Linked DNA regions of Arabidopsis thaliana. The protein of the gene in region 1 purifies or fractionates together with the protein of each later gene. This does not show direct contact. Each region holds a gene or a part of one and is shown on either strand. Other genes may lie near its edges.

Region 1 (7,378 bases):
CTAAAATATCATACTATTATTTAAGTTTTCTTCCAAAGATACAAATGACGACTTAAACGCATTGTGGAAACATTTTTTTTTTTTGGTGTGTGTGTGTGTGTTAATATATTTTGACGTTATGTGACTTAGTCAAACCAATCCGTTTATATAATTTCCTTGTATAGTGTCGATGCACAAAATCAATTGATGATACCCTTATATTTTTGTATTCAGATACTTGAAATGGGAATAGTGTCACATTCAATAATCATAGGAATATCGCTTGGAGTATCACATAGCCCATGCACCATACGTCCTCTCCTTCTCGCTCTTTCCTTCCACCAATTCTTCGAAGGTTTTGCCCTCGGTGGCTGCGTCGCAGAGGCCAGACTAACCCCGCGTGGATCTGCCATGATGGCTTTCTTCTTCGCCATCACTACTCCGATCGGTGTAGCGGTGGGAACGGCCATTGCCTCATCTTACAACTCTTATAGCGTTGCAGCATTGGTGGCTGAAGGAGTGCTCGATTCTCTCTCTGCGGGGATACTTGTGTACATGGCGCTTGTGGATTTGATCGCTGCGGATTTCTTGAGCAAGAAGATGAGTGTTGATTTCAGAGTTCAAGTTGTTTCTTATTGCTTTTTGTTTCTTGGAGCTGGGATGATGTCTGCTCTTGCAATTTGGGCTTGATCACTTTTCATTATTACTATTTGTTTATGAAAGTAATAAATTTAGGCATGCCTTTTTCTTTTTTCTTTTGGACAGAATTATTATAGGTATGCCTATCACTCTATTTGTTTCAAAATAATGTTTGTAATCAATTCTATTAGATATTCACTCTTTATCAATCATGTTATATATTTTTGTAGCTGGTAAACAAATAATTAATTTTTGAACAAAAAACAAAAACAAATACAATTAGTTTTTACAAGCAAGTATGCAACTGAAATCCAAAGATTTTCTTGACGCCTTTTCGAGCATATTCTAATCCTTCATTTTGATTTAGCTCAAGAAACGCCATAATAGAACCATATATATGAACTAAGTGTTTTTAAAAAGAGTAGGTCATGACTCATGAGTAATCTTTTCCACGATCTTTAAGATATATTATTCTTGGAAGGTCGAAAACTATAATATTTCATTTTCTGTCGAATATATATATATATGGATGACGATGGTTCCCATGCATGATGAAGAAAAAGACGAACCCTATATTTATCTGTTTAATTAAAATTTTCTTTGTGGAGATAAACTCTCTGTGAAACGCATTCCGCCACCTAATTTATCATATATTTTCATGTGAACCAAAATAATTAAAATTTGTTTGCCATATATATATTTATTTGTTGTTATCTTTCTGAGTGATAAAGGTGACAAACATTTTTGTCCACTGATACCCAATCTCTTCCACTTCAGTTCCCTTCCTTTCAAATTTTATCTCGTGCTTTTACAGCATATCCCACAATTCCTGTAAATTATCTCAAGGATTTGGTGCATAAATTCTATTTTTTCGTACTTTTTTGTTGGATATGTAAATCAGAACCAAAAAAACTTAACATTGATTAAACTTTACAATTTACGTATGTCCCATTAGAGGGGAACTACAGTTTTTGTAGGAAAATAAGAAATTTGCGAACTAAAGACACTAAATAATCCTACTTTTAAAATCACAATAGTTAGTACTCAATAAAAAATATTGTATATTGTTGTGAAAAAATGTAAATAGTTTGGAGAAACTGCTACTAATAAACAAATAATTAAGAGATGTCGGAGATCCAATTTAATCATAAAAATAAAATGATTAGCACAATATTGCACTACTGATTTAGATGCGATACACGTGGAATCTGCAACTTTTCACCAACCACATCCGAGCCTACACCACGAAATTTGAGGATTTTTATTTATTTCCCAAAAATTTCTCTGTATTTATAAACTAACTATTTCTTGGGACGTGAATATACACATTTTATATTCAACGGTCCGTGAGTGTATATTGTATATACTCTCTCTCAGATTCCCTCCTTGTAGCTAGCTTCTACCTCCTCCTTTCATTCATGGCGAAAAACTAAAAAAGACATCCATCTTTCTCAAAACATCTCTCTTACTCTCTTCGTTTTCTGACTGCAACCTTTTTTCCCAATGGAGCGCGCAAGGAGACTTGCTTACAGAGGAATCGTCAAACGTCTCGTTAACGACACAAAACGACACCGTAACGCTGAAACACCTCACCTTGTTCCTCACGCTCCGGCGAGGTATGTCTCTTCCCTTTCCCCTTTCATCTCCACCCCTCGATCTGTCAACCACACGGCGGCTTTCGGGAGGCACCAGCAGACGCGTTCCATCTCCGTCGATGCTGTTAAACCCAGCGATACTTTCCCTCGTCGTCACAACTCTGCAACACCAGACGAACAAACCCACATGGCTAAATTCTGTGGCTTTGACCATATCGATTCACTCATCGATGCTACGGTGCCCAAATCGATTCGATTAGATTCCATGAAGTTCTCCAAATTCGACGCTGGTTTAACCGAGAGCCAAATGATTCAACACATGGTTGATTTAGCTTCCAAGAACAAGGTTTTCAAATCCTTCATCGGGATGGGTTACTACAACACTCATGTCCCTACTGTCATTCTCCGTAACATCATGGAGAATCCAGCTTGGTACACTCAATACACTCCTTATCAAGCTGAGATCTCTCAAGGTCGTCTCGAATCGCTCCTCAATTTCCAGACCGTGATCACAGATCTCACGGGTCTTCCTATGTCCAATGCGTCGCTTCTGGATGAAGGCACTGCTGCTGCGGAGGCAATGGCCATGTGTAACAACATTCTTAAGGGTAAAAAGAAGACCTTTGTCATTGCTAGTAACTGTCACCCTCAGACTATTGATGTTTGTAAGACTAGAGCTGATGGGTTTGATTTGAAAGTTGTCACCTCTGATCTTAAGGATATAGATTACAGCTCTGGTGATGTTTGTGGGGTTCTTGTTCAGTATCCTGGTACTGAAGGTGAAGTCTTGGATTATGCTGAGTTTGTTAAGAATGCTCATGCTAATGGTGTTAAGGTTGTGATGGCTACGGATTTGCTGGCTTTGACTGTGTTGAAACCTCCTGGAGAATTTGGGGCGGATATTGTTGTTGGCTCTGCTCAAAGGTTTGGTGTTCCGATGGGTTATGGTGGTCCTCATGCTGCGTTCTTGGCTACTTCACAAGAGTATAAGAGAATGATGCCTGGGAGGATTATTGGTATTAGTGTTGATTCTTCAGGAAAGCAAGCTCTGCGTATGGCTATGCAGACTAGAGAACAGCATATTAGGAGGGACAAAGCCACTAGCAACATCTGTACTGCTCAAGTAATTACTTCTTAGTATCTGATTACTCATTTTTCACTTTTCACTATTAGTTCGTTCAGATAACTAGATGATATGTTGATTCATGTTGATGAGTACTTCATCTTTTCATTTTCCTGCAGGCGTTGCTTGCCAACATGGCTGCCATGTATGCTGTTTACCATGGACCTGCAGGTCTAAAATCTATTGCCCAGCGTGTCCATGGTCTCGCTGGTATATTTTCCTTAGGGTTGAACAAGCTTGGGGTTGCAGAAGTTCAAGAACTTCCTTTCTTTGACACTGTTAAAATTAAGTGTTCGGATGCACATGCAATTGCTGATGCAGCTTCCAAAAGTGAAATTAATCTGCGTGTTGTGGACTCAACCACTGTGAGTCTCCTTTGCTTTGGCCTTTCAAGGTTTTTACTCTCATAGCATCATACAGATTTGAATATTTGGATATGATTACTTAATTCAGATTACTGCTTCCTTTGACGAAACAACCACCTTGGATGATGTCGATAAACTTTTCAAAGTTTTTGCTTCTGGCAAGCCTGTGAGTGTTGTTCATACCTCTTTTTGTTATTGATATATCATTTCTAGGATCCTTGCATGAAATTTGACTATCTCAATTCGCTTCAGGTTCCATTTACGGCTGAATCTCTAGCACCCGAGGTTCAGAATTCCATTCCTTCTAGCCTAACAAGAGAGAGTCCTTATCTTACCCACCCAATCTTCAACATGTATTATTCTGTTCTTTGAATCTTGAGTGGCTTATTACTTGTGGATTGGCAGTATCTCATTTTTGTTTTCCATTTTGATAATATGATTAGGTACCACACAGAGCATGAGTTGCTTAGGTACATCCACAAGTTACAGTCAAAGGATCTATCACTGTGCCACAGCATGATTCCGTTGGGATCTTGTACGATGAAACTAAATGCAACAACTGAAATGATGCCAGTCACATGGCCAAGTTTCACTGACATTCACCCTTTTGCTCCTGTTGAACAAGCACAAGGTTATCAGGTTAGTGACTTTCTTGATTCATCTGAGGTCTGATTTAGAAAGTTGAACAATGAACTGATATCTTGTCCACATGTATGTAGGAAATGTTCGAAAATTTGGGTGACCTCTTGTGTACGATCACTGGGTTTGACTCTTTCTCGTTGCAACCTAATGCTGGTGCTGCTGGTGAGTATGCCGGGCTTATGGTTATCCGCGCATATCACATGGTAACATCTTTTATCCTAAATTTGGATCTTATTCTACCTAACAATCTTCTATTCAATTGTATTAAGCTGAAAAGTGAATGAATGAATGCATTTTTCAGTCAAGAGGAGATCATCACCGTAATGTGTGTATCATACCTGTCTCTGCACACGGTACAAACCCTGCAAGTGCTGCTATGTGCGGGATGAAAATTATTACAGTTGGAACTGATGCTAAGGGAAACATTAACATTGAGGAGGTGAGAAAAGCTGCAGAAGCCAACAAAGACAACTTAGCTGCTCTTATGGTTACATACCCTTCAACTCATGGAGTCTATGAAGAGGGCATCGACGAGATTTGCAACATAATACACGAAAATGGAGGTCAAGTGTACATGGATGGTGCCAACATGAATGCACAGGTGAAATATCTTACTAAAACAGAACACAGAGATCTTGAATTTTCTCTAATTTGTAAGAGCATGGTGTTGGGTACGTGTAGGTTGGTTTGACGAGCCCTGGTTTTATTGGAGCGGATGTGTGCCATCTCAATCTCCACAAGACCTTCTGTATTCCTCATGGAGGTGGTGGTCCTGGTATGGGTCCCATTGGTGTGAAGAATCATTTGGCACCATTTCTTCCTTCTCACCCCGTGGTTAGTCTTTTATCCTTCATCACTTTTATGTTTCTTGGTGATTGATGATTAATTCCTTAATTTTTTGTTTCTTCCATTTCCATGTATACAGATACCGACTGGTGGTATCCCACAACCCGAGAAGACAGCACCTTTGGGTGCAATATCCGCTGCACCATGGGGATCTGCGCTTATCTTGCCTATATCTTATACTTACATTGCCATGATGGGATCTGGTGGGCTCACTGATGCCTCTAAGATTGCAATTTTGAATGCCAATTACATGGCAAAGCGCCTAGAGGTAGTAGAACATCTTTGTCTTCTATTTACCTATTCATCTTTTGAGAATGAAAGGAGTCTAATTTTCCTCTTGATTTGTTTTTACAGAAACACTACCCAGTTCTTTTCCGTGGTGTTAACGGAACAGTAGCACACGAATTCATCATAGACTTGAGAGGCTTCAAGGTATGAAAATGTTGTGAACTGAAATTAAAGTAGTTGTTTTGGGTATGCATATCACTGACCGATTCAAATATGAATTTGTAGAACACTGCTGGAATAGAACCAGAGGATGTGGCGAAACGGCTAATGGACTATGGATTCCATGGACCCACAATGTCTTGGCCTGTCCCTGGAACTCTTATGATTGAGCCAACCGAGAGTGAAAGCAAGGTAAATATGGATATATGCAGATCTCTCATTGACTCTTTCTTCTCTCAGTGTATCAACTTGATGAAACTAAATAATATTCGTTTGCAGGCGGAGCTAGACAGGTTCTGCGATGCTCTCATTTCAATCAGGGAAGAAATTGCACAGATTGAAAAAGGAAATGCAGATGTCCAGAACAACGTTCTCAAGGTAATTAGGAAAACAAAGACTTATCATAATTATATCCAATAATAATATTGTTCGGAGAAGTTGAGATTCATACGTTGGTGGTTGTTTGTTTTCTCAGGGAGCTCCACATCCCCCATCGTTGCTAATGGCAGACACATGGAAAAAGCCGTATTCTCGAGAGTATGCTGCTTTCCCTGCGCCTTGGCTCCGCTCCTCCAAGTTCTGGCCCACCACAGGTATTAGACCATCCAAGATATAGATTGCACATTTGGTTTTCGATTCAGTTTATTCTGGTTTCGGAATTCTGATATGTGACAAATGATTGAAATGTGGAACAGGGCGTGTGGACAATGTATATGGAGACAGGAAACTGGTGTGCACTCTCCTCCCAGAGGAAGAACAAGTCGCAGCTGCAGTGTCTGCTTGATTACTGCTCTGTCCCATTGTGTTGTGTCCCTTTCTCTCACCACGCACTCTTCTCTTTCACATTCTGTCCATAGTGTTCTCATTATACGCTTTCTGTCTCTTACTCTATTATTTCATTCGAATACATCTTCTATAAATTATATATTCCACAATTGACCGAAAACAAAACACAAACTTTGGTAGAATCAAGACTTAAATCAACTATACTGCCATAGACGCAAGATGAAAAGAAAAATGCTTCATTACTTTCAATGGAACAATTACAGTAAAGTCATCAAAACAAAGCAAAGTGCTTGACAATTTTACTTACAGCTAATAATCATCAACTACGTTGGCTTAAAATAAAATAAGGAAAACCTTCTTTCCTCGTTCTGCTCTTGCGCTATGACAATCTCACTCGAATTACAGGACCAAGCAGAAAAAAGATGACCGGTGTTGCATGGACAGTTGTGCCTCAGTCTTCAACCTCAGTGTTGAATATAAAACTTGGGAATGCTGTCGTCACATCCCTTCAAATTCAAATACAGATATGGTTGATGATAAAGTAAAGGAAATCCTAAATGGAAGGGCTAATCTAAAAAAGAGAGAGGATTTGGTACTTTAGGTAAGGAAGAGTCATATTCTTCAACAAGCTAGGATGTTTATGCACATAGACATTCCATTCATCCTTACTAATTTTACCGTCTTTGTCAGAATCTGCATCAGCAAATGTCTAGCAAAAACAAAGTAGAGAAAGAAAAGAAGCATGTGCTAACTAAATTTACCAAAATATTATACATCACACTAAGAGAGATGGGATTTCAAGAACTCACTTTATCAATAATCATGGTCAGAAGTTCATCGGATAGCATCATATCAGATTCCAAGAGAATAGCAGAAACCATTTGTTGCACCTAACAAGTCCAACTTATTATGAAGCTGAAAAGAAGGGTTGCAACTTGCAATGGCAGATTATTATT
Region 2 (4,477 bases), on another chromosome or scaffold:
AATTCATAAAACAATAAATAAAAATTATCTAAATAATTAAATAAAAATATGAGGAAATAATAAAGACAATTTGAAATTATCCAAATATATACTGCATTAGGTAGCATGCGGCTTGCAAGACTATAGTATTTGTTTTAGAAACTATAGGTCTATTAGCTAGACAGAATTAAGAGCTATAGAAAAGTTGTTAAAATTGATAATGCGATGCTTTTTCACATAACTCAAGAAAACCAAATCAAGTTCCGATCCATCATTGTTTGTCGACCAAGGGATGATCAGTCGATAGGTCCACGTACGTTGTTGTTTAAATGAAAATAGTTAACATGGATGTAAATTTAATAAGTAAACAATGAAAATGACAAATGAAGTAGAGAAGATGGAGAAAACAGGACCAAGGGCTTGTAAAAGAATTGCCAAATAAACAACAACGTGGTCCTATCACCTTCTGCTTCTCCCTACGCACCAACCAGTCAACCATACTCAATAGGTTTCATTACAAGACAAATAACACACTCTCTTTTGTCTTTTCTCTTTTTTCGAATGGGAAACACTGACTAGCTTTGTTTGTATATTTAAATCGTTTCTAACAGAGAGAGCGTGGCGAAGTGTGAACACAAACACCTAGAAAGATCTGAGAGTCAATTCTTCTGGGTGACATATGCATGTGAACTGTATGAAGACGCGTTTTGGGGTTTATCGTTTAAAAATCATTAGATATGTGACTGACCAAAGTGTTAATCAAAGATCTGCACCAACACCTTTTACATATACTATATTCTAATACGTAGAGGCAGCGTAGAACACTCTAGAAGAAGTACTAGGTGAATTATGATCGATATGCCATTCATCTGAGAGCAGAGAATGGAACTTTACGCATGTTTAATTAAAACAACTTTCAAACTTGTCTTAAAATATGAAAATTACTAGTTCCTACTCTGATTAAGATAAGATTGGCATTATATTCATATTCTTGTACCTAATATATAATTGAAGCACTTGAACATATTTAGTCATATAGTCTTGAATTTTGTTGTTGTTTTTCCCTTTTTTTGTGGGGTCAAACTGAGTTGCTGTAAATTTGAACATACATATGAATATGCATTTAAATTGTGGCCAACAGTTTTAGAAAACTGTTATCAAATCAAAGATACTTTAAAAATACAAAAAAGTAGTGTAAGATACAAGAAAGAAAAAGTTGCCACTTTCTCATGTCGCATATATATAACGTTTCTCGGAACTTGCATTTTCTCTCTTCTTGTTTACACCTTCCTCGCCTGTTACGAGTAACACCAATATTTGGACTTATTGGATGGTTGCCTTAATAAAAAGGAAAAAAAAAAAGAAAAAGACCCAAGAACACCAAAGCTGTCGTGGGCTCTTATTGTTTATCTGAAACTAAGCCCTATTACTATTGGGCCCAAAAATCAATTACGTAAAAGAGTTTGCCTGTTATATAAGTTGTTTACTATTGTGGCCCAACAGATAAAAAAGGGAATATCCGGCCCATTCTCTTTCATCACACTCCTTGAAGAGGTGATAGGTCATGTAATTTGATTAATTAAGAAAAACGATTGAGTTAGACGAAGAGGCAATGGTAGGAGAAGGATAGTTTGGGTAGACGAAACGGTAGAGTTTTGGTTATTCTCAGATTCTTGTTGTTGAGAGACTGATGAACTACTAGAAAAAATTACCAGTATCTCCCTCAAGGTTAAAAGCGTCATTTACGGTAAATTGGGGAATAAAATGGTAAAGAGAAGGAGGCTTTTTGGTGGTGGGAGTAGGTGATGCCAAAGTAGACGACTACTAATAGTAGTAAACAAAACCTTTGGCTTTAACACTCTCCTCCAAATCCCAGATCTCTCTCTGTCTCTGTCCCGCGGAGTCCCCGAGAGATTGATCACCATCACTTTTGTACCTTCCTTGTACTACCTATGGCGTCTGCTAGCTTCGTTAAGCCTAACACCCTCTCTTCTCCATGGATCGGCCAACGCTCCTTTGCTCACACCTCTGCTTCTTCTTCTCCTCCTCCTCGAGTCTCCTTCGCGATCCGCGCCGGTGCTTACTCCGACGAGCTTGTTAAAACCGCCGTGAGTATCCTCCTTATCCTCTCTCTCTCTTTGATGCTTTATTAGTTTGGATTCGTTTCCGTAATTCTCAAAGTCAAACGTAGAGTGAGATTCTCTGATTATTGCGTAATAGAAAAGCATTGCATCCCCTGGGAGAGGTATCTTGGCGATCGATGAGTCCAATGCAACCTGTGGGAAGAGGCTTGCTTCTATCGGCTTGGATAACACCGAGGACAACCGTCAGGCCTACAGGCAACTTCTGCTTACCACTCCTGGCCTCGGCGATTACATCTCTGGTTCCATTCTCTTCGAGGAGACTCTTTACCAGTCCACCAAGGACGGTAAGACCTTTGTCGATTGCTTGCGCGATGCCAACATCGTCCCTGGCATCAAAGTTGACAAGGTATTTTTTATCCATTTATTCTGTCATCATCATCATAAGTAGTTGAGTTTTTATGTGTGTTGAGTGAAGTGTTGACAATGCAATCCACCGCGTAGGGCTTGTCTCCCCTAGCCGGTTCCAACGAAGAGTCTTGGTGCCAAGGCTTGGATGGATTGGCCTCACGCTCTGCTGAGTACTACAAGCAAGGCGCTCGTTTTGCCAAGTGGTATGTCATATATTTCACCATGTTATCTTACATATGGTATTAACTCTTTGGTTTGATGTGAAAATGCTCTTCCTAGTTTTGATGTTTGTGTGTGTTTGTCTAGGAGGACAGTGGTGAGTGTTCCCTGCGGTCCTTCAGCACTGGCTGTGAAGGAAGCTGCGTGGGGGCTGGCTCGCTATGCAGCCATCTCTCAGGATAATGGTCTTGTCCCCATTGTGGAGCCAGAGATCCTTCTGGACGGGGACCACCCAATAGAGAGGACTCTGGAGGTGGCAGAGAAAGTGTGGTCAGAGGTGTTCTTCTACTTGGCACAGAACAACGTCATGTTTGAGGGCATTCTGTTGAAGCCGAGCATGGTCACCCCAGGCGCTGAGCACAAGAACAAGGCCTCTCCCGAGACCGTTGCAGATTTCACGCTCACCATGCTGAAAAGGAGGGTTCCTCCGGCTGTCCCAGGGATCATGTTTCTGTCAGGAGGACAATCAGAGGCAGAGGCCACACTGAACCTGAACGCCATGAACCAGAGCCCAAACCCATGGCATGTGTCCTTCTCATACGCACGTGCCCTGCAGAACTCCGTGCTCAGAACATGGCAAGGCAAGCCGGAGAAGATTGAGGCCTCGCAGAAGGCACTGTTGGTGAGGGCAAAGGCCAACTCACTGGCCCAGCTCGGCAAATACTCAGCCGAGGGAGAGAACGAGGATGCCAAGAAAGGAATGTTTGTCAAGGGTTACACCTACTGATTTGTTAATTTCAGAGATCGTAATAAGGATTAAGGACCATTGTTGTCTTTTGTTTTTTTTTCCCTTTTTTGTTTTGTCTCTGAGAAAGAAAGACAGTCACGAGTCACGATCATATCATATATGTATGTGAGCAACGTGAAAACATCCTCTTAAATCTATATTTCCTCTCAGAAAGACTGATTACTGTTTGACTGCAAAACCAAATTGTGTAATTCTTCTTTTAAGTTTACAAAATTTTTGGAGGGCGATTAGGTAAAATTGGCATAGTTGCAAGTTCAGTGTTAGAAGAAGCAGCGGAGATCTCTCTCCCTCTTTATAGTTTACTTTTGACTTACAGTAGAGAGAGTTTAGAGTTTTGAATTTGGCTCCGATGACGAATCGTCTTCCTCCTTCGCTGTACGTTCCGCCTCACCAGCGCCTTGGTTCCGATTACGGCTTCAATCCTGTTCCTCTCTCTCCAGTTCGCTATGTCTCCGCTTATGATGACCGCGTTTCCGAGGATCGCCAACCGGTTAACTTCTTCTTCATCTTTTTTTCATGCATCTCTGAGCTTTTTGATTGATGCTCTTACAATGGCGATTCTAGTTTTCGATTTGCTCTCGAGTAGCATTTTATAAAAATCCCTTTATCTTTCTACTGGAACCATATCAATTTGCAGCAGGAGGGTACCTTTCACTGTGCCGACTTGGATGATTGGAATAAGAGATTTTCAATGCTTTTGAAAGATTCTTTAAAGCAAGAAGTTATTTCCAGGGAGAAAAAAGATAGACGGGATTTTGATAAACTTGCTGCTCTGGCTACAACCCTGGGATTGTATAGGTACATCAATCATGCTGCTCCTTTCTTTCTTCTTTCTCACTAGTACAACCATTTCTGTTTCTTTTTTGCAGTCATGCATATGCTAAGGTTGTTGTCTTCAGTAAGATCCCACTCCCCAACTATAGGTTTGATTTAGATGACAAGAAGCCACAGAGGGAGGTATTATCCGCTGCTCCTCACTCTCTTCTCTTACACTTAACGCAAGACGGCTTGTTTTTCTTTAAAGAGCAGATATATACAA

What was found.
Region 2: the proteins of GLDP1 (region 1) and PDE345 fractionate together in Arabidopsis thaliana (co-fractionation; one large-scale study listed by BioGRID). This does not show direct contact.

What each region holds. Positions count from the first base shown.
Region 1 is NC_003075.7:15,925,894-15,933,271, reverse strand, and holds GLDP1 (glycine decarboxylase P-protein 1), read left to right. Parts: upstream 1-1,849; 5' UTR 1,850-2,121; coding exon 2,122-3,336; intron 3,337-3,455; coding exon 3,456-3,701; intron 3,702-3,789; coding exon 3,790-3,867; intron 3,868-3,953; coding exon 3,954-4,054; intron 4,055-4,144; coding exon 4,145-4,340; intron 4,341-4,420; coding exon 4,421-4,546; intron 4,547-4,644; coding exon 4,645-4,944; intron 4,945-5,024; coding exon 5,025-5,177; intron 5,178-5,268; coding exon 5,269-5,457; intron 5,458-5,543; coding exon 5,544-5,621; intron 5,622-5,702; coding exon 5,703-5,828; intron 5,829-5,915; coding exon 5,916-6,014; intron 6,015-6,111; coding exon 6,112-6,229; intron 6,230-6,331; coding exon 6,332-6,420; 3' UTR 6,421-6,620; downstream 6,621-7,378. Other genes in the region: ZIP9 (ZIP metal ion transporter family), read left to right, coding at 214-669; CBL10 (calcineurin B-like protein 10), read right to left, coding at 6,874-6,928, 7,019-7,131, 7,232-7,312. UniProt on the Arabidopsis thaliana protein: The glycine decarboxylase (GDC) or glycine cleavage system catalyzes the degradation of glycine.
Region 2 is NC_003071.7:93,946-98,422, reverse strand, and holds PDE345 (Aldolase superfamily protein), read left to right. Parts: upstream 1-1,559; 5' UTR 1,560-1,931; coding exon 1,932-2,087; intron 2,088-2,199; coding exon 2,200-2,469; intron 2,470-2,564; coding exon 2,565-2,674; intron 2,675-2,777; coding exon 2,778-3,417; 3' UTR 3,418-3,696; downstream 3,697-4,477. Other genes in the region: AT2G01130 (DEA(D/H)-box RNA helicase family protein), read left to right, coding at 3,788-3,928, 4,076-4,236, 4,308-4,395. UniProt on the Arabidopsis thaliana protein: Plays a key role in glycolysis and gluconeogenesis.